Elephas maximus indicus: one gene and its partner. The protein of the gene in region 1 purifies or fractionates together with the protein of each later gene. This does not show direct contact. Links are inferred from orthologs where the notes say so. Each region holds a gene or a part of one and is shown on either strand. Other genes may lie near its edges.

The links.
Region 2: the proteins of DBN1 (region 1) and HOMER1 purify together in Homo sapiens (co-immunoprecipitation; 3 studies listed by BioGRID and IntAct, counting the BioPlex papers as one, with this or other methods). This does not show direct contact. The link is inferred for Elephas maximus indicus from reciprocal best matches to the Homo sapiens genes DBN1 and HOMER1.

Annotation. Positions count from the first base shown.
Region 1 is NC_064820.1:197,835,764-197,851,756, forward strand, and holds the start of DBN1 (drebrin), read right to left. Parts: upstream 7,903-15,993; 5' UTR 7,686-7,902; coding exon 7,600-7,685; intron 3,035-7,599; coding exon 2,979-3,034; intron 2,335-2,978; coding exon 2,222-2,334; intron 2,091-2,221; coding exon 2,016-2,090; intron 1,902-2,015; coding exon 1,755-1,901; intron 1,612-1,754; coding exon 1,534-1,611; intron 1,274-1,533; coding exon 1,122-1,273; intron 1,018-1,121; coding exon 954-1,017; intron 1-953. UniProt on the Homo sapiens protein: Actin cytoskeleton-organizing protein that plays a role in the formation of cell projections. Required for actin polymerization at immunological synapses (IS) and for the recruitment of the chemokine receptor CXCR4 to IS.
Region 2 is NC_064820.1:84,487,670-84,502,707, reverse strand, and holds the start of HOMER1 (homer protein homolog 1), read left to right. Parts: upstream 1-7,306; 5' UTR 7,307-9,057; coding exon 9,058-9,062; intron 9,063-15,038. UniProt on the Homo sapiens protein: Postsynaptic density scaffolding protein. Binds and cross-links cytoplasmic regions of GRM1, GRM5, ITPR1, DNM3, RYR1, RYR2, SHANK1 and SHANK3.

The DNA of each region.
Region 1 (15,993 bases):
TCAGTTCAGGGGGCTCACTATATGATTCCCTCTTCACGTGTGCGTGTGCCATCTTCAGCCCAATTTCCCATAAAAATAAGCTTTTTCAAAAAGACCTTGCCCATCTTGTTCTCACTGGCACATGGCAGGTGGCACATGGCAAGTGTGTGTTGAATGAATGACTGAGGCAAGAGTTGATCAACCAGCTGCCCTTCGGCTCCATCTCACCCTGGCAGTTGATGTGATCAGAGCCACCTATGACAGACAGCACTTGGTAATGCTGGTGCCTGCAGAGCTGTCTTATTCTGGATGTGACCCTGGACCTCCCGTGAGTCCCCAGGGCCCAACATCTGCCAATTATAATCCCAATCCAGGCCTCCCTTCCTGAATGGCACCATGCTCAGCCCTGAATAACCCTAGCTATTTCTGAAATGCAAAATTCAGTTCAAACCACAGAGATGTGACCCCTCTGTGATTTCCAAAATGCCAATCCTCAGGAGCTATGGGCTGTTCCCAGTGTTTGGCGATTCGGCGGCACCCCTGGAACAAGGAGACACACTTGCATAGAGACACTCAAAGAACAGGTCCAGCCCATTCATTCACATGACTCCACACCACTCTTGTGTGGTGGCTGGGCCTTCTCAGTGCAGGAGCAAAGTCTGATTTACCCCGAGCCCCAGAGGCCCCACTGAGGAGGGACCGGGGTGCCTTGCAGGGAGTGCCTGGGTTAAGGGCATTTTCTCTTCCAATCTAGAGGATAAGCTTCTCCAAAGAGGTCTCTATCCACAGCCAGAAGCCAGAGCCCCACATGATCAGGCACCTGGCCTGACCCTCCAAGGCGCCCCCCAGGCCTGTGCAGAGGTCTCCAGGGCACCCAGCACTGTTCCCAAGCCCTGATCTCCCCCATGAGGCCCAGGCACAGGGAGCCTCATCTCTGCCTGACTAGGAGCTGGGAGCCTTGGCTCAGAACTTACAAAGATCGACTGCTCCTTCAACCGCCTCTTGGCCTCTTCTGCTTCTAGAGTCTGCTGTTTCCTCCTGGAACAAGAAGCCAACAGGTGCCCTCAGGGCAGGCACGCGGGGCACCCAGGTCAGATTGCCGGGGCACCCAGGTCAGACTGCCGGGGCAGGCGGGGCTGCACCTGTGTTCTTCAATCTGCTGCTCCCGCTCCCGGTAGCGTCGCTCCCGCTCCTCCTGCTCCTGCCGTTCCTGCTCCATCCGCTCCTGCTCAAACCTGAGCCTCTCATCCAGGGCCTTCTTCCTCTCCTCCTCCTTCCTCAGCTCCTCCTCCTTCTGCAACCCCCACACCAAGGAAGTGCAGGCCTGAGCTGGGGAGCCCGGCCCTGCATCCCATCCCAAACCCATGACTAGGGAGGTACCAGTTCTGAGAATTCTGGGGATGGGTCCTATGCAACAAAGCCAAAAGGCTTTCTCTCTTTGAGACAGAGGAGTATGTGGTCTGGAGCACACTGCTAAAACGAGGAGCTGGGTGACAGGTTCCAGGGGGTCAGGGAAGGGCAGCTCAGCCTGAAGGCCAGGGTTGGGGTCCACACCTTGGCCTGCTCCCAGAACTGCTCACGGTTAATTCGCTTCATTTCCACAGCTGCGTCTGTCTTCTGATAGGTGGTGCCCTGTAGAGTCAAGTTACAGGGCATAAGCACAGAGAGCAGGCTGGTGCTTTGGGAACCCCCATAAATAAGGGCACTATGGGGAACAAGGGAGGGCCAGACACAGGGGCCCAGGGCAGGGCCAGCCAGAGCAGGCCCACACTGACCACAGGCTCAGTGTTCTCATCTTCCCGCAGCCGCAGACGGTGTAGCACTGGGCTGGAGAGCCGCGCCAGACCGTTGGAGAGCCGCTGCCCGATGGCGCCTGCATCTATGTCTTCCACACTGCTGGCATTCACGATTACGTCGACGCCCTTTGGCAAGAAGGCAGCGTTCAGGCAGCACTGTGGCCCCCGTTACCACCCCAGCATACCGACCCCGCCCTGGGTGGCTGTCCCTGTCCCCATGGGGCCTGGCTCCACGCACACCTGGAAGAACTCAGCCACTTTAGCCACATGGCTGGCACAAGCGCACTTTCGGGCATCAGGCACGTCTTCGCCGACCTGCAAGATACCCAGTGAAGAGGGGTCGGGAGACGGGGCAGCAGGTGAAGCCCCCAGGCCATCCTCCCCAGGGCCGGAGGGAGTCTCTCCCAGAGTCAGTGGGTGCCCCTCCCCAGCCTACAGCTGCATACCCAGTTGATGAGCACGTATTTTGGCAGAGCAGCCTGGGAGTCCTTGACGCTGCAGAAGCCATACATCACCTTCTGGTTCTCGAAGTGCCCCGAGAGCTCCTGCAAGCCCCCTTCTGGGGGAGTCAGGAGGGTGTCAGGACTCCTGTTTCCTAAACCCATACCCCCTCCTCCGTGAAGGGCCTGAACCCCACAGGAGAGAATTCTCCCAGGCTCAGCGGCCTCCCCCCCAGGGGCTTTCTGGCTTCTAAGCCGTGGAAGCCCCATAGTTTTGTAGGAGTGAGGGGATGGCAGGCAGGGTCTAGCTTTGTCTTTGAACCTTCTGGAGCTGATCTGGCGTAGGACTAAGAAGTGTTTGCTTGCTCTAGCCCTTTTCTCGCATCATTCCCTCCTCACACATCATGTATCTGAGGTGCTGGTGCCCAACCCCAACAGTGTGAAAGAAGCCTTGGTGTGAAATGGTGAGTGGGGCTGCCCATGCCTCCTAGGCCCTTTCCTTCTAACTGTGTGGCTTTGGGCAAGTCTCTTTTTCTCTCTGAAAGTGCTCTGGTCTCCTCCTCAGTCACTCAATAGGGAAAACAAGGCTCCCTCCCTCCCCACCCAATGGGGATAACAGGGATGACTGGAAGAAGGACACTGCCAGATAAGTGTGGGGCTGTCAGATGCAGGCAGGAGGGCGGCCCAGAGCCAGGCGGGTGGGGAAGAAAATAAGTGGAGGAGGGGGCGGAAAGAAAGGCAAAGGAATGGCTGGAATTCTTACCTCCTGACGCTGCAAGCTTGAGGTCATCGGAGCCATCCTCATATGTGTACAGAGCCCTGGGGAGAGGGAGGGGCGGCTGGAAGAACTTTCAGAGCCCCAGTTGCCAATTTTGGGTGGAGATGGCTCTGGGGAGGGGTAAGCGGAGGAAAGTGGAGGGGCCAGGCCAGGAGCTGGTTCCAGACCAGCTGGGGCAGCATCATCATGACAATAGGGCTGGGCACCGGGTTCTGACGGTTCTGACGGTTCTGACGGAGCCCAGCAGGGGGTGGACTGTGAGCCCAGTGGAGGGAGGCTTAGGGCCTAGGTCAGGTGGGGAGTAGGGGATGGGGCAGAAATCGCTGCCACCGCCTGCTTGAGGTCAGCGCCTCCAATCCAGTGCGTCCGGGCCCTGGCTCCAGCTGCCTTCCACAGAGCAGAGTGGTGTGCAATGGAGCTTCCAAGGCTACTGTTCCTTGGTTACCTTGGTTACTGTTCCCTGACTACCGAGCTCCTCAGCCCCCATTGGCCAACACTAGGAGCCTACCTGGCACGTGCCTTGGTACCCGCCCCCCCTGCAAGGAAGGAGGGGGAGGACAGAACCTGGTGCTCTAACAGCTCTGGGCATCCCCCAGTAACCATGGCAACTCGGCAATTGGCACACTAGCGGCCCACCCGAGTGCATTCTCCTTGAACACAAAGGACCCCAGGGACCAGCCCTCAGCCTCCAACTCCTCCTCTCAGAAATGGGGATGAGGTCACCTCTGTCACTCTTGCCCAGACTCTGGCCCTGGGATGGCTGCGCTCTCCCAGCCTTCCAACCCTGAGGCTGCCTCCACCCTAGCCAAGGCCCTGGCCTCCTGGGACTGCCAGCCTTTCCGCCCTAGCTTAGCCACAAAGCTGAGCCAGCATTCATGCCCCACCCTCCTCCTCCCAAGCTTTTTCTGCCCTGGCTTGTTCTCCCCAGGTGGCTGGGGCACAGCATCCATTTCACTGAAGGGAATGCAGAGGTGCCTCCCATCTGCTCACAGTGGGAGGAGAGGCCTGGGGCGAGAAGAAGGAATGGCTTTGTTTCTGCAGTTCAGAAGGGCTGGACCCTTCCCCACGCTACCATTTCCCCAATGCTGCAGCAGGAGATGGGGGTGGGGGTGAGGCAGGAGCTCCAGGGAGATGGACAAGAGGAGGGGAGGGGAGAGGGGAGGGAGACACAGGCAGAAAGGAAGAAGAGAGAATAAAACAAGTGAAAGGGAAGAAGTATGACAAGGAAGTGAAGAGGAAAGGGAGGAAGGAGGGAGAATCTGTCCCATGAGATCAGCACAGGTTGCTGCCAGGGCCAAATGGCCCCCCAACCCCTCCCCTTCCCAGGTCCCTCCCTCCCAAGAGGGACACAGGTGGGCTGTGGGGCTGAGTTCCTTGTCCAACTGTTGCCCTCACCGAGTCCTGGCAGCTGCTTTCCCGCACAGCTGTCCCACCACCTGTCCTCTGCCCTGACCCACCACTGGGAACAAAGGGCCCTCAGAAAGCAGAGTCTGCCCCTTTCCAACCCACAGATGAGAAACTGAGGCAGAACCGGAGGATCCTGGCTCCCAAACGCTGCTCTAAGCATCATACTTCCTTGGGAGGTGGTATCCGGACCTCTCCAAGGCTGATGGCCCCTGCTCCTCCCAGGAAGGCGTGCCCTGCCCCAGGCCCCTAAATCCTCAACCCCTTCCAAGCCCCCCTCGCCCATTCACACACCTTTTCTGCTACAGCCACATCCCTCCCCTGTCTGAATCCACACCTAAATTCAACCCCTTCCCTGGCCTCCTGTACATACTACACACTTGGGTCACATTGGGTGGCACCCTCATATCTCCCACCCCCAGTCTTTGCATTTGGAGTGCCCTTCACATGGAAGGCCAGACCTGGTTCTGAACCCCCACCGCCACTGTGGAAACCCTTCGGGGGGGGGCCATGGCAGCTCCCCAGGAAGCCTTGCTCTGTCAGCCTCTCCAGAGTACTTCCCAGACCCCACCAGGGATTTAGAGGCATCTGAACCCATCCCAGACCCCACAATTGCATAAGACACATCCATCCTGGGGGGTGGGAGCTGGTGAACCCCACAGGGAATCAGAATCTACACGTTTCACCAGCTCTGGACCCTGGAGACACTGCCCAGATGGTAATCTTCATGGGGGCAGAACCTGTAACTCTATGAATCAACACATACAGCTCTGGGTCCCAGGGCCCAGCACAGAGCAGCACCGGTAGGTATCTGTGATATTGACACAAACTCTTAGAAACCACCTAGGCCAGAGAACCTGGACTAGGGTGAGGAGTGAGCTGGAGTGAGCAGGTCCAGGGCAATCCTGAGGTCAGCTGGGACTGGAGGGCTGAGTCTAGTCACACACGCAGAATGTCTGAGCTAGAAAGGCCTTAGGTTTCCCAGATATGGTTGAGCCCAATCCCTTCCTTCGATTTCACAGGTGCACAGAGAATCAGAGGGGGCAGGGACTTGTATACAGTCATGACAACACTGGCCTTTCCCACATGATCTGATCTCCCTGGCCCCTGTTCCTACGTCAGGGCTCAGTGGTCCATTTCAGAAGCCTTGCCCCATGAAGCCAGGTGAGGGAGGGCAGTGTCAATCCCCTTCGGCAGGCAACAGTTTTACTGAAGACATCTCTTTCCTGGCCTCTGAGATCAGGTCTGCCCTGAGTCTTGAGACCACTGACCCTTGGCTTGTGGTTGAGCACGAAGTGGGAGAGGGACACACTCCTGCCCTGCTCCCCCTCTCCCCAGGATACAGCCCTCACACTTTTTTTCAAAATGTTAGCTAGGCCCTTGGGACTGAACACACGTGTGTATATGTGAGGAAGGGTGTGTGCATCTGTGTGTGTGTGTCCCACACACAGCCCAGATGGGGGGTGATGCACGCCAATGATGAATAAATCACTGTGGCCATATGGGTGTTGCTGGGTGGTGGGAGCCAGGCAGGCCTCTGCTGAGCAGGATGTGGGGCAGCAGTGGTTGTGTGGTCCCCGCGCAGGGCTGTTGGAGCTCTGCTTCTGGGGGTTAGGGGAAAATGGGGTGGGTGGTGGTAGACAAGGTTCCCCAGACTGGATGGCATGAGGGGTGCTCTGAAGTGGGCTGTGTCACTTCCCAGGCAGGGATTAACAGGCAGGGCCCACAACTTAGGGCCAGCTCTTCCACCAGGCCAAGCAGGCCCCTTGCCCTGAACTCCTCCCATGACCTCAGCCCCCAGGGGCAGGCTGGGACAATGGGTGGGCCTCCTGTCTGCTTAGCCTCTCCTGTGGCTGACCTGCAGGACACAGAGCTTGTCTCCCTCGTCCATTCCTCCAGGCCTGGCCGCCCGCCAGTGCTGCAATGCTGTGGCATCGACGCCTGGCCATTTCGTCCCCTCCTCCAGCCCCCCAGGTCAGTGGCCCTATCTGGCTGCCCTCTCATCTTGAGGGTGAGGCCAGCCCAAGTGGGGCCACTCAGGCCTGTGCTCACTCTGTTCCTCAGTTTCCTTGGGGAGAGGAAGCTGTCTTCTGCCTGACAGCATGAAGAGAGGCAGGGAACAGAATGGGCACCTGCCCCAGGAAGAGTATTCTGGGGGGCTGTTTCCTGGATGGGGAAGTGTGGAATCCCTTGGCTTTTTGGCCACTCTGGGGACTCCAGCCCCAGAGCTGGTGGTCCATCCCCTCCCCCGGCTCAGGGGCACGATAACAGCTGGGGGAGGGGGAGAGCAGCAGCCCAGACCCTCCCCCACTGGGAGAGGAGTGCCCCTAGCTGCCGTGGGCAAATGGTCTAACTAACGGGACCAAGTGAAAGGGGCCCACCTCCGTACATTTGCGCCTGAAGGCTTTCTCCCAGGTACCCCAGCTGGCCCCATAGACAGGCAGTTCCTGTCCCCTTGGCGTCCCCCAGCTCAGCTGCCTTGTCCCTGCAATCCCGTCCAGGTCGGGGGAGACGACGGCTCACTCTTGCCTCCTCCGTGACCCGGGAGGGGAAAAGGAGTCACTTCGAGCTTGCCATGTGGCAAAGAACGCCCTTCCATCACCTCCCAGCCCAGAGTGGAGGGGAGGGCGGGGGCGGGCAACGACAAGCGGCCCCCGGTGGGCGGGGCGCCCCAGCCCCCGGCCCGCTCCGCTCCTCCCCCGCCCGAGCTTTCCTTTGTGCTGCGGCCGGGCAAGCTGGGCCGGGCAGGCTGCGCTGACTCCGCTACCTTGGTCCCCGCCCCGTCCCCGCCAGCTCCAAGGTGGAGAAGGTGCCCTTGGCCGCCCCGCGCACACCTGTCCCCCGGGTCCGGGGGGAGGGTAGGGACTGGGGATGGGCTCCCGTAGGGCCATGCGGCCCCGGGCCACACATCTGGACCCTGCGTGCATCCGGCCCGTGTCCGGTCACCGCTCCCACCGCCTGCCTGGGGCCACTCGGGGCGCTCGGGGCCCAGCAGTGCCCCGCCTGGCCCGCCCGGCCCGCCCGGCCCCTCCCCCCGGCGCGCACAAAGGCAGCCCCTCCCTGGCCCTCCCGGTCCGATGCACCATTTCGGGGTCTCCCCCTCCCTTCCCGGCTGTCGGCGGCGGGCCGGCTGGGAACAAAGGCGCGGCGGCGGCGGCGGCGCGGGGACAAAGGGGCCGGGGGGCGGGGGCGGGGGGCTCACCAGTCGGCCGCGCTTTCCTCCCGAATCACCTCCTCGTACGCGGCCAGCAGCTCTAGGCGGTGGCCGCTGAAGCTGACGCCGGCCATGCTGCGGGCCGGACCTAGGCCGAACGGACAGACGCACAGACGGATGGACGGACAGAGAGGGAGGGAGGGAAAGAGGGAGTAGCCGCCGCCGCTGCCGCCTAGGAGCCTCTGCAGCGTTGCAAGCCGAGCGAACCAGTGGCCGGGGGAGGGGAACCGGCCGGCGGGGGGCGGGGGGCGCTGGCTCCGCCCGGCTAGGCTCCCTCCGCTCACTCGGTCCTAGCGCCGCCCCGGCCCGCCCAGGGGGAGGCCCGCCCCCCCTTCCCGGCCTGCCCCGGGCGCCCCCACGCCCCTCACCGCGGGCGGTGCCGGGTCGCTTCAACCAGGCGGGCGGCGGCGCGCGCAGCCCCAGTAGTCTAACTTGCCCCTCGGGTTCCCAGTTGCGCCCTTCCTCGTTCAGAACCCTCCTCTACCCTATCCCCAACCTGGGTGCTTACCCTGCTCCCCAAACCCAGTCCCGCAGCCCCAGCATCTAATCAAGATTCCACTCTCCAACCCCCATCCAGCCCCAACTCCAATTTCTAGTCCCACTCCCAAATCCACTTCATTCCAGTCCGGTCCCAGCCCCACCCTATTCCTGTGCTTCATAGGTTATCCCAACCTCACCCCATCCCTGGTCCATCCCAGCCCATTTTAAACAATTTCCGTCTCAAATCTCAACTCCAACCTAGTTCATATACCTGCTCCACTCCTGCTGGTCTCCAGCCCATCACCACCTCTGAAAAGTCCATGCCTAATCCATCCCCATCACTGTCCACTGCTACCTGCATTCCAATCCCATTTCTGTCTTAGCTCCAGCCCATTTTCAATCCCTTGCTTGGCATACCCCCACCTCTCCATTCACCACACCCCATATCCAGCTGCACCCTTCTCTCTCCAACCTACCCTAGTCCCATCCTGAACCCAGTTCCCACCCACACCCCTCCATGCCTGTGGGACCATGTTCTCTCAGGCCATTCCCAGCCCCAACCTCAGCTCATTACCCCCACCATCCCCAGCCTCTTCCTCCATTCACATCCACCCCTGTCCTGAGCTCTCTCTTCCTTACTGGCTGCCTCCTGTGCCTCTTCAGATGGCACCAGCCTAGGAAATCCTTTGCTTTATCTCCCAAGCCTCAGGCCTCCCAAAGGAATCCCAAATTGAGTTCAAGAAGCAGCATCTAACTCAGACTCCCAGGGCAGGGCTCCTCCAAGGACACACCAGGGCCAGCCTCCTGGCACCTTAATTTCCCAAAGCTCTGAGCATGGAAGAGGCTGAGGCCCCAGAGAGGTCCCCTGCAGGGGCGTGGCCACCACTGCCAGGGCCTCTTGGTACATCTCTGTCCTTGCTAGGAGACCCTTAGAACTCTTCACAGCTGTCAGAATCCTTTCCCACCACCTGCAAAACCTCCCAACCCCATCTTTCTAGGGGACAGTGACAGACCCAAGCAAACCTTACTTGCCCCAGAGCTAAGAGGAGAGCAAAGACATGGGACTGGTCCAATCTGGGAGGTGGAGGAGGAGGTGGCACCAGCTGGGCCTCAGAGTTAGGTAATCGGCCATGTCACCAGCACCGAGAGGGAGAACAGTGTGTGTGTTTTTCTCCAGCAGTGGTTCCTACTGCTTGGGAGTAGGAGGAACTCTTAAAACTCAAAACATTTTACAGACCCTTGTGTAGAGAACGGAACCCTGGTAGCACGGTGGTTAAGAGCTCAGCTGCTAACCAGAGGTCGGCAGTTTGAGTCCACCAGCCACTGGAAGCCCTGTAGGGCAGTTCTACTCTGTCCGTTAGAGTTGCTATGAGTTGGAATTGACTGGATGGCAATGGGTTTTGGTTTTGGTATAGAGAACACTTGGCGCCCACTGTGTCCGTGGGGCCCTCTCCCTGGCAGTTTCTCCATGGCCCCCACTGGGGATGAGGCCCAGGCAGGGTCAGACCCAGGCCCTGTGCCCTAGACCCACTGGCCAGTAGGAAACCAGGTGCAATGGGAAGCACCGAGACAGCGGAGTGGATGATGCAGGGTGGGGGAGGGAAGGAGAAAGGAGCCAGGAGAAGCATGTGCTTCATTCAGCTTTCTCCCATCATTAGACAGGAAGAGGATGATTCTGGGGTGGGAGGAGAAGACCCCACAGCACTGCTGAGGGGGGCATCTGGGAAGGCTAGGCAGAGGACACCTCTGGCCTCAGCCCCTTTCTGCTTCCTTGGAGTTGTCCTAGCTCAGAACACCTCCCACTTCCCTCTCCTGGGGCCCCTCCCCAGCCTCCTGCTCATTCTACTTCACATCCAAAAAAACAGAAGCCAGCCGACTTGCACACTTCTTTCCTCAAATTCCAGCCACCTGCAAATTCTCCTCAACCACACCCACTCTCACCTCTTGCCATCTATTTTTTGAAATAAACTTTTTATTTTAGAACAGTTTTAAATTTGCAGAAAAATTGCAAAGAGAGTGCAGAGAGTTGCCACCCAGTTTTCCCTATTATCAACTTGTCCATTTTCAGGAGAGCAAGAGAGTTCCCTGCTCCCATGCCTGAGAGCCCACTCCTGGTCTTTCCGCCCTTGTCCCTTGCACATGACCTTCCTCCTATCATTTGTCAACTGTACTGTTTTCCCTGGCACTGCTCTGGCCAAGGTCACTAAAGAATCAGTTGCCATTAAGTTGATTCTGACTCATGACAACCCATGAGCATCAGAGTAAAACTGAGGTTCATAGGGTTTTCAATGGCTGTGATCTTTCTGAAGTAGATCGGCTGGCCCTTCTTCTGACACACCTCTGGGTCTCTGGGTGGATTTGAACTGCCAACCTTCTGTTAGTAGCTAAGCATGTTAACCGTTTGCAGTACCCAGGGACTGGCTAGGGTCAGTAGTGACCCAAAAGTTGCCAAATTCAGTGGACCTGTCATAGCCCTCAGTTTCTTTGAATGACGGGAGCAGGGTTACCACTACTGGCTCTCCCTCTTCTGCGAAACTGCTACTGTTGTTGTTGTTGTAAGGTGCCATCGAGTCAGTTCCGACTCATAGCGATCCTATGCACAACAGAATGAAACGCTGCCCTGTCCTGCGCCATCCTTACAATGGCTGTTATGGTTGAGCTCATTGTTGCAGCCACTGAGTCAGTCCTCCTCGTTGAGGGTCTTCCTCTTTTCCACTGATCTTCTACTTTGCCAGGCATGATGTCTTTCTCTAGGGACTGATCCCTTCTGACAACATGTCCAAAGTATGTAAGGTGTACTCTCACCATCCTTGCTTCTAAGGAGCATTCTGATTGTACTTCCTCCAAGACAAATTTGTTTGTTCTTTTGGCAGTCCATGGTATATTCAATATTCTTCACCAACACCACAATTCAAAGGCGTCAATTCTTCTTTGATCTTCCTTATTTATTGTCGAGCTTTCACATGCGTATGATGCGATTGAAAATACCATGGCTTGGGTCAGGTGCACCTTAGTCTTCAAGGTAACATCTTTGCTTTTCAACACTTTAAAGGGGTTCTTTGCAGCAGATTTGCCCAATGCAATGGGTCTTTTGATTTCTTGACTGCTGCTTCCATGGCTGTTGATCGTGGATACAAGTAAAATAAAATTTTTGACAACTTCAACCTTTTCTGCTTTTATCATGATGTTGCTCATTGGTCCAGTTGTGAGGATTTTTGTTTTCTTTTTGTTGAGGTGCAATCAATACTGAAGGCTGTGGTCTTTGATCTTCATCAGTAAGTGCCTCAAGTCCTTTTCACTTTCAGCAAGCAAGGTTGTGTCATCTGCATAATGCAGGTTGTTAATGAGTCTTCCTCCAATCCTGATGCCCTGTTCTTCATATAGTCCAGCTTCTTGGATTATTTGCTCAGTATACAGATTGAATAGGTATGGTGAAAGGATACAACACTGACTCACACCTTTCTGACTTTAAACCAAACAGTATCCCATCGTTCTGTCCGAACAACCGCCTCTTGATCTATGTACAGGTTCCTCATGAGCACAATTAAGTGTTCTGGAATTCCCATTCTTCACAGTGTTATCCATAACTTCTTATGATCCACACAGTTGAATGCTTTTGGATAGTCAATAAAACGCAGGTAAACATCCTTCTGGTATTCTCTGCTTTCAGCCAGGATCCATCTGACATCAGCAATGATATCCCTGGTTCCATGTCCTCTTCTGAAACCGGCCTGAATTTCTGGCAGTTCCCTGTCGCTATATTGCTGCAGCTGTTTTTGATGACCTTCAGCAAAATTTTGTTTGTGTGTGATATTAATGATATTGTTCTATAATTTCCACATTCGGTTAGATAACCTGTCTTGGGAATAGGCATAAATACGAATCTCTTCCAGTCAGTTGGCCAGGAAGCTGTCTTCCAAATTTCTTGGCATTTTGCTGCATCCGTTTGTTGAAACATCTCACTTGATATTCCATCAATTCCTGGAGCCTTATTTTTCGCCAATGCCTTCAGCCTGGACTTCTTCCTTCAGTACCATCGGTTCCTAATCATATGCTACCTCTTGAAATGATTGAACATTGACCAGTTCTTTTTGGTATAATGACTCTGTGTATTCCTTCTATCTTCGTTTGATGCTTCCTATGTCATTTAATATTGTCCCCATAGAATTCTTCACCACTGCAACTCGAGGCTTGAATTTTTTCTTCAGTTCTCTCAGCTTGAGAAACACCAAGTGTGTTTTTCTCTTTTGGTTTTCTATCTCCAGTTCTTTGCACATGTCATTATACTACTTTACTTTGTCTTCTTGATCCACCCTTTAAAATCTTCTGTTCAGTTCTTTTACTTTGTCATTTCTTCCTTTTGCTTTAGCTGCTCGATGTTCAAGAGCAAGTTTCAGAGTCTCCTCTGACATCCATTTTGGTCTTGTCTTTCTTTCCTGTCTTTTCAATAACCTCTTGCTTTCTTCATGTATGACGTCCTTGATGTCGTTCCACAGCTCATCTGGTCTTTGGTCACTAGTGTTCAATGCGTCAAGTCTATTCTTGAGATGGTCTCTAAATTCAGGTGGGATATACTCAAGGTCATATTTTGACTCTCATGGACTTGCTCTGATTTTCTTCAGTTTCAGCTTGAACTTGCAAATGAACATTTGATGGTCTGTTCCACAGTCAGCCCCTGGCCTTGTTCTGACTGATGATATTGAGCTTTTCCATCGTCTCTTTCCACAGATGTAGTCGATTTGATTCCTGTGTGTTGCATCTGGTGAGGTCCATGTGTAGAGTTGCTGTTTATGTTGGTGAAAGAAGGTATTTGCAATGAGGAAGTCGTTGGTCTTGCTAAATTCTATCATTCAATCTCCGGCATTGTTTCTATCACCAAGGCCCTGTTTTCCAACTACCGATCCTTCTTTGTTTCCAAATTTTGCATTGCAATCACCAGTAATTATCAATGCATCCTGATTGCATGTTTGATCAATTTCAGACTGCGGCAGCTGATAAAAATCTTCTATTTCTTCATCTTTTGGCCTTAGTGGTTGGTGCATAAATTTGAATAATAGTATTAACTCATCTTCCTTGTAGGCATATGGATATTATCCTATCACTGACAGCGTTGTACTTCAGGATAGATCTTGAAATGTTCTTTTTGATGATGAATGCAACACCATTCCTCTTCAAGGTATCATCCCTGGCGTAGTAGACTGTATGATTGTCCAATTCAAAAATGGCCAATAGCAGTCCATGTGAGCTCACTAATGCCTTAGGATATCGATGTTTATGAGTTCCGTTTCAGTTCTGACGATTTTCACTTTTCCTAGATTCATACCTCGTACATTCCAGGTTCTGATTAGTAATGGATGTTTGCTGCTGTTTCTTCTCATTTTGAGTTGTGCCACATCAGCAAAATGAAGGTCCTGAAAGCTTGACTCCATTTACATCATTAAGGTCGACTCTCCTTTGAGGAGGCAGCTCTTCCCCAGTGGTGTTTTGAGTGCCTTCCAACCAGCTACTGGTGATCTCCAAATCCACACACTCAAGCTCGGTGTGTTGGTGGTGGGTGCCACTTGAAAGTCCTCCCATCCAGCCTTCACAGCCACCATTCTCCTGGTACTGATTGACCTTCCGCTGCCAGACCATGAGCTCCCCCCCACACTCAGAAGCTGATCCAGTGTCTTCTGGGTTCCCAGCGTGCTGAAGGAGGAAGAGAGAAAAGCCAGGAAAGAGGGTAGCCTTCTTTATGTAGAGATCTGGATATAGAAGATGGTTGCTTGCTGTGTGACCTTGGCAAAACCACTTCCCCTCCCTTAGTTTCTTTATTGATAACATGTGAGGATAAAATGTGACTGGGTGGAGGCTTAGAAAATGGGAGCTTCCCCTTCTTCCACTCATCTCTATCCACCCTCCTCCCTCCCACCGCTGCCTTCCGTATGCAAGCTCCCCCTCACAGCTCACAGGGAAGGTTTTTCAGTCCGCCCTCAACCTGCTTCCTGAAACAACATCCTCAAAAGTGTGCCCTTGTTCTTATGCTTTTCAGCATGCATTGGACGGCTGGCACCTGGCCAGCCACTTTGACCACATTAGCTTGGCTCCTGACAAGCCTCTTAGCAGTGTGACCTCACTAGCGGTATGGCTTTAGGCTAGTTGCTTGACCTCTCTTGCCCTATCTTCATCAACTATAAAATGGGATGAAAGTGGTGGTACTTACTTCATAGGGTCAGCTTAAAGATATTTTTTACAAATATCTGTTGTGGGTGTTGTTAGTTGCCATCAAGTCACCTCTGACTCATGGCAACACCACACACAACAGAATGAAACGTTGCCCGGTCCTGCGCCATCTTCACCATTACTGGTATGCTTAAGTCAATTGTTGTGGCCACTGTGTACTTCAAGTGCCTTCCAACCTAGGGGCGCATCTTCCAGTGTTATATTGAACAATATTCTTTTGTGATCTATAGAGCTTTCATTGGCTAATTTTCGGACGTAGATTTCTGGGTCTTCCTAGTCTGTCTTACTCTGGAAGCTCTGTTGAAACCTGTTGTAAAAATGGTGTGGTGGCGGTATCTGACTTCCTCTAATTTCACAAGGGGGAAGGAGAATCAAGATCAACAGCCCAAGGCTGATTGCTATGAGTTGGAGGTCAGATATGCCTCATCTCTCTGCCATCCTTACCAATTCTGACACCAAATGTCCCTCTCATGGTAGTCTCTACTTCTCTGCTGGGTTCAATAATTCATTGCAATGACCACACAGTACTCACTGACAGTATTCATGATTATAGGGTTTATTAGCAAAGTAACAGTTACCATTCAGATTGAGGAATGCTCAGGATACAGTTCTTTCATCAGGACAGCCTCTTCTCAGCTGTGCCACAGGCAGGTTTCTCTCTGGCCCTCTGCCCTTTGGTCTGGCCTCTGCCGATAAGTGCCCAGAGGCATCCCACTCTGCCAGTAAGCCTTGGCCTGAAGGCGCTCAGCTCTAGCTCCATGGGCTGGCAAACTTAGCTCCACCAAGTGCCTGGAGGCATCCTACTCCACCAATAAGCCTCCTACCTGAAGGCGCTCAGCTTCATGGGCCGGGGAGCCACCACACTCTCTCCTGCTGGTCTCCTGGTTCTGCTGCCTCTGCTGCCTCTCTCTGTCTCCTGTGTTGCAGTCAGCCCTCTATCCGCCCCCCGCCCGCCATGTCTCTTTCTAAGCCTAGGGGATAGCACAACTGACCAGTCCTCTCATTAGGCTTCCATATACCTTATTTGCATGGTCCCACCTCCACAAGGGTGCCATGGGACATTATTAGCAAGCTGTCCAATCCCCTTGGTGGGCCACAAGCACAACATTTGCACAGTCTCACACAGTCTTTGATGGGAATCACAAAGATTATGGCTAGAAGGACCATATTAAGTAATTCACTGAACAGTACATGTCCACCATGCTGGCATTCGAAATACTAATGGCATAGCTTCCAGCATCACAGCAAACCACCACAGTCATCTCCCTGCTTCCCTTTCTAGCACACCATTTCCACATCCAGGGGCTGGGCTGGCCTGGGGTCAGTGCCAGACGCAGTTGTGGAGGCTAGAATTGTGGGGTCTGAGGGATGAGTTGGGAGGGGCTCCTGGGCAAGGAGGGCAGAATGTGGCCAGTGCAGTGATAGCCCTAGTCAGCTGCCATCATCCACACCCTGTCTTCTGGCTGATCTCCCACTAGAGCTCCAGGCCTGGTCGGTCAGAGTCCCTGGGGTGGCTTCAGGGATGGACACGTGACCCACGACAGTCCAATGAGTGCCAGCCCTGGATCTTTTGCTGGAACCATCAAGAAAGAGGTGCTCTTTGTCCACTGGGGCTGCTGAGCTGCCAGGATAGAGAGTCTGTGCTGTCGGGGAGTGTCTTTGCCAAAGATGGAGGGAGCT
Region 2 (15,038 bases), about 110 Mb from region 1:
ACCATGGCTGTACTAGCTACCTATTGATGTGAAACAAATTACCACAAACTTAGCAGTTTAAAACAACACACACTTACTATCTCACAGTGTCTGTGCATAGCTTAGCTGAGTCCTTTGCTCAGGGACTCACAAGGCTGCAGTCAAGCTATCATCTATGCCACATTCTCATCTCAAGGCTTGACTAGGGAAGAATCTCCTTTCAAGACCATAGACTTTAGAAGCGCAGTCGCTCTTGAGTCAATTCCAACTCATGGCGACCCTGTGTGTGCCAGAGTAGAACTATGCTCCATAGGGTTTTCAAGGGCTGATTTTTCAGAAATACATTGCTAGGCCTTTCTTCTGAGGCAGCTCAGGGTAGGCTCAAACCTTCAACCTTTAATTTAGCAGCCGAGTGTGTTAACCATTTCCCAGCATCCCCCTCTACTAAATCCATTTGTTCTAAACCAGCTAGAGCAGATTCTGTTGTTTGTTCTCAATAACTTGTTAAGAATCTTAACTAATCAAGTAACTTCTACCCAAGGATAACTGAAAGTCCTAGCAGTTAATTTATTCAATAAACATTTTGAGCAACCACTATGTAAGAAATAACATCTAACATTTGTAGATGGAACAGTGAACAAGACAAAGTTTCTCTTCATGGAGCTTATATTCTACAAGTGATCCAACAAACATATAATGTTGTTTTAGATAGTGTTGACTATACTATGAAGAAAATAAAGCAGATTAAGTGGAGGGTGAGTGACTATGAGTGTGGAGATAGTTCATAAAGAATGTCCAGGAGACCTCTCTAAAGTGATATAATTGGAGCATAGAACTGAATGAAGAGTGAGCTATGCAAAAATCTTGGTAATATGTGTTTCAGGTAAAAGGAATGAAGAAGGCAAAGGCCCTGCATTTAGAACAAGCTTGGCATATTTGAAGAGCAGCAGCAATATCAGAGTGGCTTTGTGCAGTATACCCAACAGCCATTGCTCCTTCTTGCTGAGAGAGTTCTAAATTTGTTCGGTCACAATGTGCAGACACAAGGGATGAACCATCATTTGCCAATCATGAACATCCTGTTCCAAACTGTCAGTAATTGATTTAGGATGGGCATGTGACCCAGTCTAGCCAATGAGTCATGGGGGGTGGGGCTTCTAGGGGCCTCTTGGAAGCTTTTCTCCCTGGTAAGAGAGAGGCAAAGAAGCCCTGGTGGCACAGTGGTTAAGTGCTCAGCTGCTAACTGAAAGATTGGCAGTTTGAACCCATCACCCACTCCAAGGGAGAAAGATGTGGCAGTCTGCTTCTGTAAAGATTTACAGCCATGGAAACAGTGGGGCAGTTCTACTCTGTCCTGTAGGGTCCTTTTGAGTCAGAATTGACTCGACCACAATGGGTGAGAGAGAGGCATGAAGAAGAAAATTCTGTAATCTCCTTCCCCCCTTCCTGTTTAGTATGCTATTTGTGAGGAGATGATACCTGGAAATGCAATAGTCTTCTAACAACAATGAGACAAGAAGCCAAGTGTAAGAGACAACACATGAAGACGGCAAAATAAAAAAGATGGAAAGATCCTGGACCCTGATGACACCCTGAACCTTCTAAACCAACCACAGGACCACCTACCTTCAGACTTCTTGTTAAATATAGAGAGTTGATAACACAGGAACACATAGAGTAGCAGCTGATGGGGGAAATGGTAGCTGAGATAAGAGGGGGGGTAGGAGCCAGATCGAGGAGTGCCTCTTGGACTAAGAAATAGAGTTTGGATTTTATTCTAAGTGTGAGAGATTTTAGCAGATGACACAACACTCACACAAACACATACGTACACACATTTTAGGAAAAAAGAATTCATTATTAAAATAGCAAAATAGATATTGATTAAAGATATATTTGCCATTTCTGTTCTAATTTGTAGAGAAATTATTGTTTAGAATTAGATTAAAAGAAACCAAAAAGCCTAATCAGTAACTTATGAAGTATCTTGGCTAAAAAAACTGCAAATGTTGAGCATCAAATCTCTGAGCTCTTACGCTTGGGGGAACCTTTAACACATGATCTAGGTATTTATCATTTCTTGCTGCTTTAGCCATGTCAGAGTCTTTATCAGTTATGTTCAGCTTCAGAGAGTTTGCAATTGCCATCTTAAACCCCCACCTCTTTTTAAAATAGTGCCAAATTTCTGCTTTACTCTTATTTCTTTGAAAAAACAGGCAACTTCCCTTCATAAGAGCGGCTGTCCTAAATACCTTGGGTGTTGTTTTTCTCCTAGCTGGCACCAAAAGAATCACAAAATAAGGTAACAGCTCATTTAAAATATTTTCCTCATGGTTGCTCTGTTCCCCCTTTCAGGAAAAAGATTATTGGTTACCATAGCAATCAGCTTCTACAGCATTCCATTCTAAGTAACTGCACAGGTACAGCTCAAGCTTTACTACAGTCTTTACTGTAGCTGTCTGCAGAGCTGCATATTTTTACACCATGTTTTCTGTAACTGCTGTTTGAAACAACCAACCAACCAATCAAAAACACAATCGAAAAACCTGGAGTTAAACGAGATAATTTTTTCAAAGACATCAATATCCCTGTCTCTTCTGAATGTCTTAAAATTTACATACGTAATTATACAATGAGTTCCTCACAGTGCCTAATGAAAAACTCTCTGGTATGTTCTTTCACTGGCTTGTATTATATTTTTATCTTTTTGCTAGTATTTGGAAAACAAAGAATGAATTTACAGTAAAAATCAGAGTAGGAGATAGTTCTGTGAGATCATTTCCCATGGGCTCAATATCATATATTTCCTGACGATAATTCTCTAACTTCTCTCTCCTTCCTAAAAAGTTACTGTAGAGTCTGTAACACAATGTGATGCGTCAGAGTAGAACTGAGCTCCACAGGGTTTTCGATGGCTGATTTTCTGGAAGTAGATCACCAAACCTTCCTTCCAAGGTATCTGTGGGTGGGCTTGAACCCCTAAACTTTGTGTTAGCAGTGCAGCATATTAACTGTTGGTACCACCCTATCATGCCCAAATTCCTGTGACAAAATAATGCATATATACCTATATTAGATAAAATTCACTTACTCAGAGAGATAAAACTTGTCCTCAAGCAATTGCCTTGGAGATGCCAAACACTTACTGTTATGGATTGACTTGTATCCCCCCAAAAATACGTATAAATTTGGCTAGGCCATGAGTCACAGTATTGTGCGGTTGTCAACCATTTTGTGATCTGATGTGATTATCATATGTGCTGTAAATCCCAATCGCTATGATATTAATGAGGCAGGATTAAAAGCAGTTATGTTATTGGGGCAAGACTCCTCAATCTACAGGATCAGGTTATATCTTGAGCCAATACATTTTGAGATATAAAAGAGAGAAGCAAGCAGAGAGGAGAGGGACCTCATGCCACCAAGAATGACGTGCTGGGAGCACAGCGTGTCCTTTGGACCTGGAGCCCCTGTGCTGAGAAGCTGCTAGATCAGGGAACGATTGATGACAAAGACCTTCTCCCAAAACTGACAGAAAGAGAAAGCCTTCCCCTGGAGTTAGTGCCCTGAATTCAGACTTCTAGCCTCCTAGACTGTGAGAGAATATACTTCTGTGTGTTAAAGCCATCCACTTGTCTTATTTCCATTATAGCAGCACTAGACAATTAAGACACTTACCTTTCCACTCTTTAGACTATTAACTAACCTGTTTCTGTTCAGAACATTACTGATAATAACAAAAGATGTTTTTTATAAATAGGCCAAACATAACTTAATGGCACCCAATATCTGCTACAGTGTGGAAGAGGTGGAATGATTTGAGAGAGTTAACTTGATAAATTCTGATTCCCTACAGCTCTTTCATTCTTTTCTCATCACGTTTAGTATTTGCTGGTTATTTTGTTCCTTCAGAACTACGTGGCATTAACTAGAAATCTTGAGGTTTCTATTGTATGGAGCGGTATCCTTTTACTTATTACTTTGTTTGAAGCAATACTGGTGTTTTGGCTATTAAAAAGAGACAACTTGAAAGGAAGTTGCTATTATCTAATTTAATGTTAAGCAATTAAAAATAAAATTCGACTTTTACCCTCTTTTCTGCCAAGTTTTTCTATGTTCTAGATGTCTTTTCATTGAAAAAGACATATCTCATGACCAAGCTATGAACACCCATTGAAGACTGCCATCTCCTATTAAGGGCATGGAAGTAAACTCTGTAACTAAAACAGATGCCTTCGCCCACAGATTCTAAAATCAGAGGGTATTCATAAACCTCTCTACAAATTTTCGGAATGTAAGTGGGAAACAGGAAGTGTTAAAAATTTGAAACTCTGCTAAAGCACTTTTTGCTCTTCCGGTAAAAGAAAATACATTACTTTCTAGGAAGCTCACTACTTTAATAAACATACAAAGAAATCAGAGTTGGAAATTCATGTCTGGGATTTGGGTTATGTCAGCTCATTTTAGGAGAAAAGATAATACTTTTAGATGGAAAGTTATAGAATGGTTCTCTGACTCCTCTCAAAATTATATTGGATTTATTTCAAGAGGGGAAAATAGGACCTCACTTCCCTTATTTTTTTCCTGAGCTTCCATATTACATAAAATATTTCAAAGTTTTTACTTGTTATCTTGGATACATGGACATATATACTCCCTTATATACTCATCCCACATAAACAAGAAACAAAAACTGATTGATTATCTGGAGAATTTTCTCAATAAGAGCAGAGGCCAAAGTTAAATAATTATATCACAGTGCACCATTAGATTTATGTTTTAAAAAAAGGTACTCTCAGTTTTCAGTCAACAAAAGAGCAGCTGAGAAGGGACCATGCAGCTTTGAAAAGTGGAAATTCTATTGAAAGGTCAGCATTCTAAAGGCAAGGGGGCAGCTGACATGCTGTTTTGACAGCTGGGTAAAAATTAAGAGGAAAAAGTTTGTAAAACACAGGAAGTTGCGATCAAAGGGTAGAATGAAGTGTTTGAAAAATGGTAACGTGAGAACTTTAACATGAAGGGAAAGAGCAGGAAAGAGGGATAAGTGATTCAGTTCTGAGAAAAAATAGTTTGTAGAGAAAATTTAGTAGAGTAAAAAATTAATTTCTATTTTAATTTGCAGAGGCCAAGAGATGACATTATTTGAAGAATGATGGTCTTATTTTTTTAATATTTTATATGTAAGTAGGAAGATCCATTTGTCTGAAATATGTTAGTACAAGTTTCTATTAACACGTTCATATGTATTAGACGAATTGGCAAGTACGGATTTGCTTCTGATTAACTTTTTTTTTTATAACCTTTTAAAAATGTTTCTATTCACTACTTTTAACATTTCAAACTTGAAGCAAATTCTGAAATCAGGGAGGGATCATGATTTCATAATGTGAAGATGATCAGAAAGCCTGATTTAGTTACAAATTGGTATTAATCTTTTTTTTTTTTTTGCCAGTGTTCTTTAATCTTGGGTTCCTAATTTGATTAAGAATATTTACATGCAGAAAGCTGCAAAACCAATGTTACTTAATTAGGAATTGTGTGAGTAGCTTAACATTAAAAACATGTCCCCCCCCCCCACAGGGTATAAATTCTATAGAGTTTTAGGTTCTCTTGTTTAAGCTACATTGATTTATAACTCTCTTTTAACAATCACTTGAGCCCTGGTGGCACAGGGGTTAAAAGGTCCGCTGCTAACCAAAAGGTTGGAAGTTGGAATCCACCAGCTGCTCCTTGGATACTATATGGGGCAGTTCTACTCTGTCCTATAGGGTCCCTATGAGTCAAATCAGTAGAAAATGACATAAGAATCACACCAAAGTGGTGAGATATGGAAATCTCGCAAATATATTAAAGTCAGAATTTAATCATCTGCATAAACCAAACCAAACCCCGAAGGCAACGGGTTAACAATCACTGTATAGGTTGGTAATCCTATGTCCTGGATTTTCCAGGTCACTTCGGATTTCAAGTATTTCATTTATTGTCATATGATGTGTCCTGATTTTGGTTTGAAATACATGGTCACTCAATTTAGAGACTAACTCTGAAATAGTAATATCCTTTGACAGTAGGTAGCAATTCTTTTTCCGGCCCATGACTATCAAGTTAAATCAAATTAAACAAAAATTCGTTATATATTTGAGTCTTAATAGGTAGAAGTTGTAAAAGCTTTATAGTAATTTATAGTTTTAAAAGCATTTGTAATATAGACAGAAACATAGCTAATAAGCCTATACGCGGGTATTCACCCTTGCCATGAATAGAAGTGAAAAACATACTTAGGAAATATTTTAACTATGTATTATATGGTAAAAACTAAGGAAGACAAAAATAATCAAAATGTGCTCGTGTTAACAAAAAAGGATTTAGTGGTCTTATTTTAATTTCCACAAACTGGAACTCACGTTGTTGGTACACCGGAAGTGAGAATATACTGGCGTTTGCTATAAGAGCCCTGGTGGCCCAATGGTTGAACGTTGGGCTGCTAACCAAAAGGTCCGCAGTTCTAATCCACCAGCTATTCCTTGGAAACCCTATAGGGCAGTTCTACTGTGTCCTACAGGATTGCTTTGAGTAAGAATCGACTTGATAGCAACGGGTGATTCGGTTGCTATGATAATTATCTGAATGAACTTTCTAAGATTGAAACATTATCCTATGCCAAAACATTGTTTTTTTGCAAATGAAAACATATCATTTTATGTCCTTTCCCCTTTACTATCATTTATAGCATTGCTGTATAACCTTTGTTCATGGCCCGGCTCTTTATTCTTCTGTACTTAATCACTAAAGAGGGGAAAAGAGAAGTTTTAACGTCTACAATTTATAGATTGGTATTTAATAAGTCTTTCGAAAATTACGGTGAATTTTCCCAAGTCTTGGAAGTATATCTACCACTAGTGTTCAGGTTCTCCCTCCCACATTTCCCAGCTAGTTGGGACGTGAAAAGCTCGGGGATGCTGCTGCAACAGGGGTGGGAGTGGGAGATAGGATATCACCCCCCGCCCCCTGACACTTCGGAACTGTTGCTATGAATGATTCACTTCATTTGGCACATTTGTTGCGAGGAAATCTCCTCCAGCCGCTTCCTTCTAGGAGCTCCTCTCGGGCTGTCTCCTGTACTTTGGCCTTTAAGGAGAAGCTAGAACAGGTGGGCACAGAAGAGCTCGCCGAGTCCTCCTCCCCTGCTCCTTCCCTAATTTAGCAATGCTTCCGGCCGCGTGACATCATCCCCCGCACTCTGGTGACGTGAGCGGCGGGTGACGTGTGTGCGGAGAGGAGCGCGCTGACGTTGCTATTTAAAGGTCCTCCTGCGGGGAGGATGGAGACACAGCGCGAGCATCTGGTGTGGGGAGCGGCGGAGGCTGTGGCGGCCGGGAGCGGGGCCAGGAGCCAGCGGAGGAGGAGAGCGCACGGCCCGCCCGCCGCCGGCCGCTAGGGGAGGGGGGAAAGAAAGGAAGGACGGACTGACGGACCTGCTGACTGGCTGGCCTAGCTCCCCACGAGGGCTGGCTCGGCCCCTGACCACCAGCCTCTCCTCCCCCTCGCGGCTGTCTCCCCCTCCCGCACCCCGCAGGGCCCCTCGGGGCCCAAGGGACAGATCTGCGCCCCAGCTCCCGGCTCCCGGCCGCGCCTCCGCGGTGGCGGCCGCCTCCCGCCCCTCCTGCGAGCAGGGGGAGGGGCCACTATCACCCGCCCCCATTCTCCCCGCCCCCTCCTCCGCCCCCCGCAGCTCGCTCCGCCGCCGCGCTAGCCTCTTGCGGGCTGTGCTGACCGGGGAAGGGGTGCCCTCCGCTCTGCAAGCCGGCGGGCGAAGGCGGAGGCACCGGCGGGCTTCAGGCCGCTCGGTCCGGCGGGGTCCTGCCGAGCGGGAGCTGGAAGCCGGCGGAGGCGGGTGGTGAAGGAGGTGTGAGGAGGCGGCAGCAGGGCTCCGGGAATGTGAGGCGGCGCGTGGCGGCAGTGCGCAGCCAGAGAGGCGAGGAGCAGGGGTGAGGGCGCTGGAGCAGCGGCTCTCCCGCGGCTCGGAGCCCTGGTCCCCGGTCCCTGACGCGGCATTAGCGCCCGTCGACCCTTCAGCCCCCTCCTCCGCCGCCGCTCGGCCCGCCCCGGAGCTGGGGGCAGGGTGCCGTTGGAAGCGTGGAGCCTGGCTCTCTGATTCATTCATTCCTTGCCGACGGGAGCCTGAGACCCGCTGCGCTCTGAAGGGAGGGGGAAGAGGGCAGCGGCGAATGAAGGGCCGGGCGCGAGGCGGGCTCCATTGTGCTCGGCGGCGGGGGGCGGGCAGGGGCTGAGGGAGGTGGGATCGGGTCCCCTCCCCCTGCTCCCCGGCGTGCGCTGCGCCCCCAGCCTTCTGCCAGTAGAGATATGGCTCCGTTTATTCTCCTCGGGAGAGTGAATCGATCCTGCCCAGTCTTCTCTTCCTTCTCCCTACCTCCTCTCTGCTCCGAGTCTTGAGGGGAAAATTAAAAAGACAGATTCCAATGTGGAGTGCCGTGCACGTCGCGAGCTGTCGGGTTTGCACTTCGAGGAGATTTTTCTATATATTTTTTTCTAATGTGAGCGTAGGGAAGCATTGGCATTACTGCTTTTCGGATGTTTATTTTCAGGTAGGGATCTTTTAAGTGCACGTCGCGGTGGGTTGACGCTCCACCCCCAGGGACTTGGTGTGGAGAAATTTGAACCCGTAGCACCGAAAAGGCCGAGTTACCTAGCTCTTCGTGAGTGTCAAGGAGGACATGAGCGAAAAGACCAGCGAACTCAGTTTTTATAGGACTCGGTGAAGCTGGATCCCGCGTTTTCCTACAGACTCATTTTGTGGAATAGAGTTGACCGTTGTCTTCTCCGCGCAGCATTTTAACTCTAATAAGCAAATGCCACCTCAGTTTATTTGAACGATTTCTTACTTACGAGGGAGAAAGCATTTTACTTAAGGAAACAAATTGTCAGCATCATTAAAATACCTCCGGAAAAGGACTTCGGGGGGTGGAAAAGCAACGGCGAAATAGCAAACGGAGAAATTCCTTTGGAAGTTATTCCGTATAAGAGCAGAAACTTCAGAGCAAGTTTTCACTGGGCAAAATGGGGTAAGGATTTTTGTGCTTAACACAACTTCAAATCTGTTTATGTATGTGTGTTATTGTCTGTGTTTTGTGTTTTCGAACAAATTTGCCACCTTGCTAAGCTGGCTACACCTTCAAAATATAGGTGTGTTAACCTATTAACAATTTATTTTGTGCGTTCTTTTAGAGTGACACAGGGAGGTCATAGTTAAGGAACGGCGCGTATAACGTTAGTAACCGGAATATAGTTTTATCAGTAATATTTAAGAAGGCAACGCATTCTCCACAAACTGCTGCATGAGTTTGTAATCAAAATCGTGTCTGAGGTTTTGTTGCTGGTCGATGTCTTTCAAAAAGAAGTACTGCATTCTCTCAGTACTTTGAGAATAATCAGTTGCACAAAGGGAACGATTGTATTGTAAACTAAATAGCAGTTAGACGACAGTCCTTGAAAATGATCCAGTGTAAATTATTGCCCTCAATGTGCCCTCTGTTTTGCCCTTGAATATAAGCTAAAAATATATATGTATATATATAAGCTAGAACTGATTTATTGGGGGGATTTAAATGAAAATTTGAAAGTCTACTGAAGCTGTCTCCAGAGTGCGGTGCAGTCAGTAGGAAATAAGAACTTGAATAAGAAAAAGTCTTTTGTCGAAGGAACTTGTTCACTTCTTCTGTTTTTTACTTCTAAGCTCAGGTTTTCCGTTTGTGTTAACAATGTCAGATCTACCTTTCTGTCAGATCCAAATCCAATCAGGAGTGCATTTTCCAACCTTTTATTAAGTTCGTTCACACGAGTAGCTTGATAAAATGCTAGTGACTTCCTAATTTAAGCTGGAAACTCATATTAATGGAATGATCTACTTGTTTTATTGACAGATTGTTGATGCTTTCCCTCAGAGAGGAACTTCCAGAATTTTCTCTGCCTCCCTCCCTCCCTCCCTCTCTCTCTGTGTGTGTGTGTGGTTGAGGGGCAGATTTTGAAAGGATGGACTCACATTTCTTTGTGATAGTTTAGGGGAGTGTACACACACTTCTTGAGACTTTTGAAAGGAAGTTTTGGGTAGTACTACCTTTTTGTTGGAGTTAAAATGTGAAGTTAATTAATTTGAACAACTTTCATAGCTTGGGTATTGTAGGAGCTCTTCCTCAGGAATTAATGGAAAACGGTGATAACTGTTCTTAAAAAATTACAAGTGGTGAGAATGTATGTAATTCCCATGATTTGGGAGCAATTAAAATATCTCATTCTGTTTCTAGCATTGCTATTAGTAGGCTAGTGCTCTGAGGCAAATATTTAACTTCTGTGGACTGTCTTCTTATCTGCAAAGTGAAGAACTTATGTGAGATGGGTTTGAAAGACTTTTCCAACTATAAAAATGAATTGTTTTCTTTTTTCTCCTTACATTTTAATGATCACTAGTTGGCTTCTTAAAGTAGATCTTTCAGGTGGAGATGTTATTTTCTGTAAAGAGTTTTTAAGCACCTTAACAAGCTGGAAAATAATGCATTTGAAAAATGTTTTAGATTAACTCCACTAATTTTAAAGGAGGGATTCTGAAAAATACTGTTATTTAAAGCCTTTGAAATATGGCTTCTTTTGAGAACCTGCAGTTCTTCTGGTTAAAATATGTTGGAGCAAAAAAATCAAGTGGCAGTTTTTCACGTTGAAGACTGCATTCTCTAGATTGTGAGCGGTAGCATCTTGGAAGAAAATCAGTTTTCCACAACCTTAAAAAAAAAAATTTTTTTTTTTAAGCCTCATGAATGCCTATCATTTTACCAAGAAGGCTTGAGATGAACTTAAATACTGAGGGGACTAGGATTTAAAATATAAAAATAAGCCTCCCCGTGCCCAGCACACACGTAACACACATTTAGATACTTCAGCATAATTAAATTTGCTGATAAACTAGTTTATTTGCCTTTTGTTAATAAAGTCTTAAAGGTGGACTGAGGTGGAAAGGGAGCGAGTGTTTGTGGCGTTATTTTTCAGAAAGTCCGTTATAGGGGCTATGACCCTTTTCATTGATAGTGACGTGTACCGTCTTGAATTAATGAGCGGAAGTGTAGGTGGAAGTGGACTAGAAGAGCACAAGGAGAAGGCATTTGTGCAAGTTTCCAAACTTGATAGATGTTTATACCTAATAAATGTTTGTGGAGTAAGCGTAGCTGCCAGCACCTATGTAAAACAAGAGGAAACAGAGCTATAAATGACCTTTAAACTTTTACCCACGCAATCCTAAAACTTTATTCTGACACGTGTCTGAAATTTAATATTGTGAGTGAAGAGTGTCACATATAATGAATGCATTTTTGGCTGATGCTAGCTCATAGTAAAAATTATTTCTTTGCCTTAATTATGAATGTAATTTTAAGGGCAAAGTCTAAGCAAAAGAGGTTACGTTCAAGAAAATGAGTGATTAGGTGGGAAGAAAATCTGTGGCTCCTGAACAGTAATTTATGAACTCTGGTGGAACTGAAAAGAACAGCTGAAACTGACAGTTGGCAGAGTCTGTCAAAGTATCTTGGATGCTGCATGAACTGTTTTTAATTGCAGTGAAGACAGCTGAAGTATCCGTTTGTAAAGTTGTGTCAGACAATAAAAAATTAGGGCATTCACGTATGTAAGATGAAGTCTATGGAAAACTCAGTGAGAAGGTCCCCTCCCTTTGGTTTGCCACCCCCCCCCCCAAGTAGCATCTCACAATAAGAGCAGTGAGTCACTACCTATTTCAGAGCTGTCAGACGAGTCAACAGAAATCAAGTAACTTCAGTTATTTCATGCTACCTTTGGAATATTTTGTTTATTTATTTATTTTTTTGGAAACCCTAGTGGCATAGTGGTTAAGTGCTACGGCTGCTAACCAAAGGGTCAGCAGTTCGGATCCTCCAGGCGCTCCTTGAAAACTATGGGGGCAGTTCTACTCTGTCCTACAGGGTCGCTATGAGTTGGAATTGACTCGACGGCACTGGGTTTGGTTTTTGAATTGTTGCTTAGATCATATTGGCAACTAAGTGCCAACAACAAAGGACTAAAGCTCCCCCTACCCAATTAAAGCTAGTTATATAGGGTCGCTATGAGTTGGAATCTATTGGATGGCAATGGGTTTGGTTTTTTTTGGTTTATATGTAGGGTCGCTATGAGTCGGAATCGATTGGATGGCAGTGGGTTTTTTTTTTTTTTTTGGTTTATATATAAAATGAGGGTCCTTCCTGCTAATGAAGTTGGCTGGTGCAGTTTCTGATTTATCTCACCTACCTGTGGGAGCCTCTGGAATCTTGCCTCTCCCCTTCCCCAGATAACTTGTGGAGGCATGGAAGTGGGTGCTGCAGCATTGCAACTGAACTGAGTCCCTTCTTTGCTGAAGGACAGGAAGCTGACACGTCTTTGTGCCTCAGGCTGCCAGGTGCTGCTGTCTGGGGATTGTAGCAACAATGCTGAAATCTTAGTCCAGCACTGCAAATATGAATGAGCTTTGTTATAAAGGCAACCATAGTATCATCCCTAAGGGCAGAGAAATTAGATGGAACTCATTAGTTTTATATTTGTTCACTTTACAAACTTTTGAACCTTTATTATGTGGCCTGTACTGAGCTCAGTGCTGCTGACTAGTAAAATGTACTCTTTTCTCTCAAGAAGTTTATAGTTCTGAGTGGGGAAGACAGTCAAGCTTTAAAATAAAAGGTACAGTGAAATGTCAAAGGGTCTATAAGGTAAGGCACCATTAAGGCACTGTGTGTGTGTGTGTGTTTGTGTGTATTAGCTTGAGGGAAGGATGGAAAAGGGTTTGTGGTGGAGGTGACAAGTGTTAGATATTGAAAAATGAGTAAGATGGGCCTCATGGACAAATGAGAGGGCATTCAAGACAAAGGAAATAGTATGACTGAAAGCACTAAGACAAGAAACTGCAAAAACATTTGGCAAGACAGGCTTATCTTGCTTGGGGTCCTTGGGGGGATAGCAAGAGATAGAGCCAGAGCCTTAGGCAGGGGCCAAGTTTAGGTAGCCTTGTAGACCAGACCCTGGTGGTACAGTGGTTGAGAGCTGCATCTGCTAACCATGCTAACCAAGAGGTCGGCAGCTCAAATCCACCAGCCGTTCCCTGGAAACCCTATGGAGGCAGTTCTACTCTGCCCTGTGGGGCCCATATGAGTCAATTGATTTGACCACAGTGGGTTTGGTTTTGGTTTTGGTAGACCAAACAAAAGACTTTGTATTATCCTGTGTTGTTGTATGCTTTGGAGTCAATTTAGACTCATAGTGACCCGATAAAACAGAGTAGAACTGTTCCATAGGGTGTACTAGGCTGTCATCTTTATGGGAGCAGATTGCCAGGTCTTTACTCCCGAGGAGCAGCTGATGGCTTTGAACTGCAGCCTCAGTTAGCAAATACTTAATCATTCCTGTAGGCAAGTGTATTTTAAACTTTTTTGGCCACGAGTCATTAGTAAGATAAACATTTTTACATCATGGTCTTGTGTACTGGTGTATAAATGACAAAATTTCAGAGAATAATTTTACTTTGTGTGATGCACTCTGCTATTTTCTATATTATTTTTAAGGAAGAACGATGGTTGTGACCCACTGAGTTGATTTAACTACCCAGTGGTAGCAACTGGTGGCTTGGGGAACCATTACAGGGGTTTTTTCGAGGTTAAGATTTATTTGTGGTTGCTTTCTTGGAAACCCTGTGGTGTAGTGGTTAAGTGCTACAGCTGCTAACCAAAAGGTCAGTAGTCGAATCCACCAGGCACTCCTTGGAAACTCTATGGTGTGGTTCTATTCTGTTATATAGGGTCATTATGAGTCAGAATCGACTCGATGGCAATGGATTTTGTTTTTTGTTTTTGCTTTTAAACTGAGGATATATATGTGTTCAGAAGTTATTTGTGTTATTTTCCCCTTCATATGGCTATGAGTCAAAATCGACTCGACAGCAACGGGTTTTATGGTTATGTTACCTATTGGAAAAATAGTTTCATTTGTTTTACTTTTTATTCTATTTTAGCTATCTCCATCCTAAATGTAATTTAAGTTTTTGACTCTATAAAACAATAACATGATTCCACACATCACAACTGCTACAGGGCTTTAAGTAGAGTAGCAGTATGAACCCTGGTAGTGCAATGGTTAAGTGCTTGGCTGCTAACTGAAAGGTTGGTGGTTTGAACCCACTAGCTGCTCTGCAGAAGAAAAGACCTGGCAATCTGCTCCTATAAAAATGACAGCCTAGATGTCTCATTAGGGGGAGAGTAATTGGGAGTGTGTAGCAAGGTGTATATAAGTTTTTGTGTGAGAGACTGACTTGATTTGTAAACTTTCACTGAAAGCACAATAAAAATTATTAAAAAAAAAAAAATGACAGCCTAGAAAACCCTGTGGGGCAGTTCTGACCCATCCTATAGAGTTATTATGAGTCAGAATTGACTCAGTGGCACCTAACAACGGAACAGTAACATGAAAGATCAGGGGAAGCAGAGTGAGAAAACAGTTAAAGAAATTATTTAGAAATTGGTTTTGTATGTTGTATCCTGTGGAAATGCCAAAGTGAGAGCGATGGACACTGGCTGGGTAGGGGAGGTAGATAGTTGGACCAACCTTGGAAAATTTCATGATGGATGGAAAAGAGGGATGGTGATTGAGAAGTATCTGGTTGGCTGAATGGGACTTCCTCAGGATGAGGGTATTTTGTGTGCAGAGGTAAAAATCTAGGTAGCCAAAAAAAAAAAAAAAAAAAAAAACACGTTGCTGTGCTCTTGATTCCAACTCGTAGGGACCCTATATGACAGAGTAGAACTGCCCCATAGGGTTTCCAAGGAGCTACTGATGGACTGAAACTGCCAACCTTTTGTTTGGAGCCAAGCTCTTAATCACTGTACCACCAGGGCCCCCAATGTAGGTAACAGCATGGTGTATTTGTAGCAGAGCCATTCATTCTCAGGTGGGCCATGGAATAGTGAATTGAGAAGTTTGAAAACAACTTTCTGGATAGC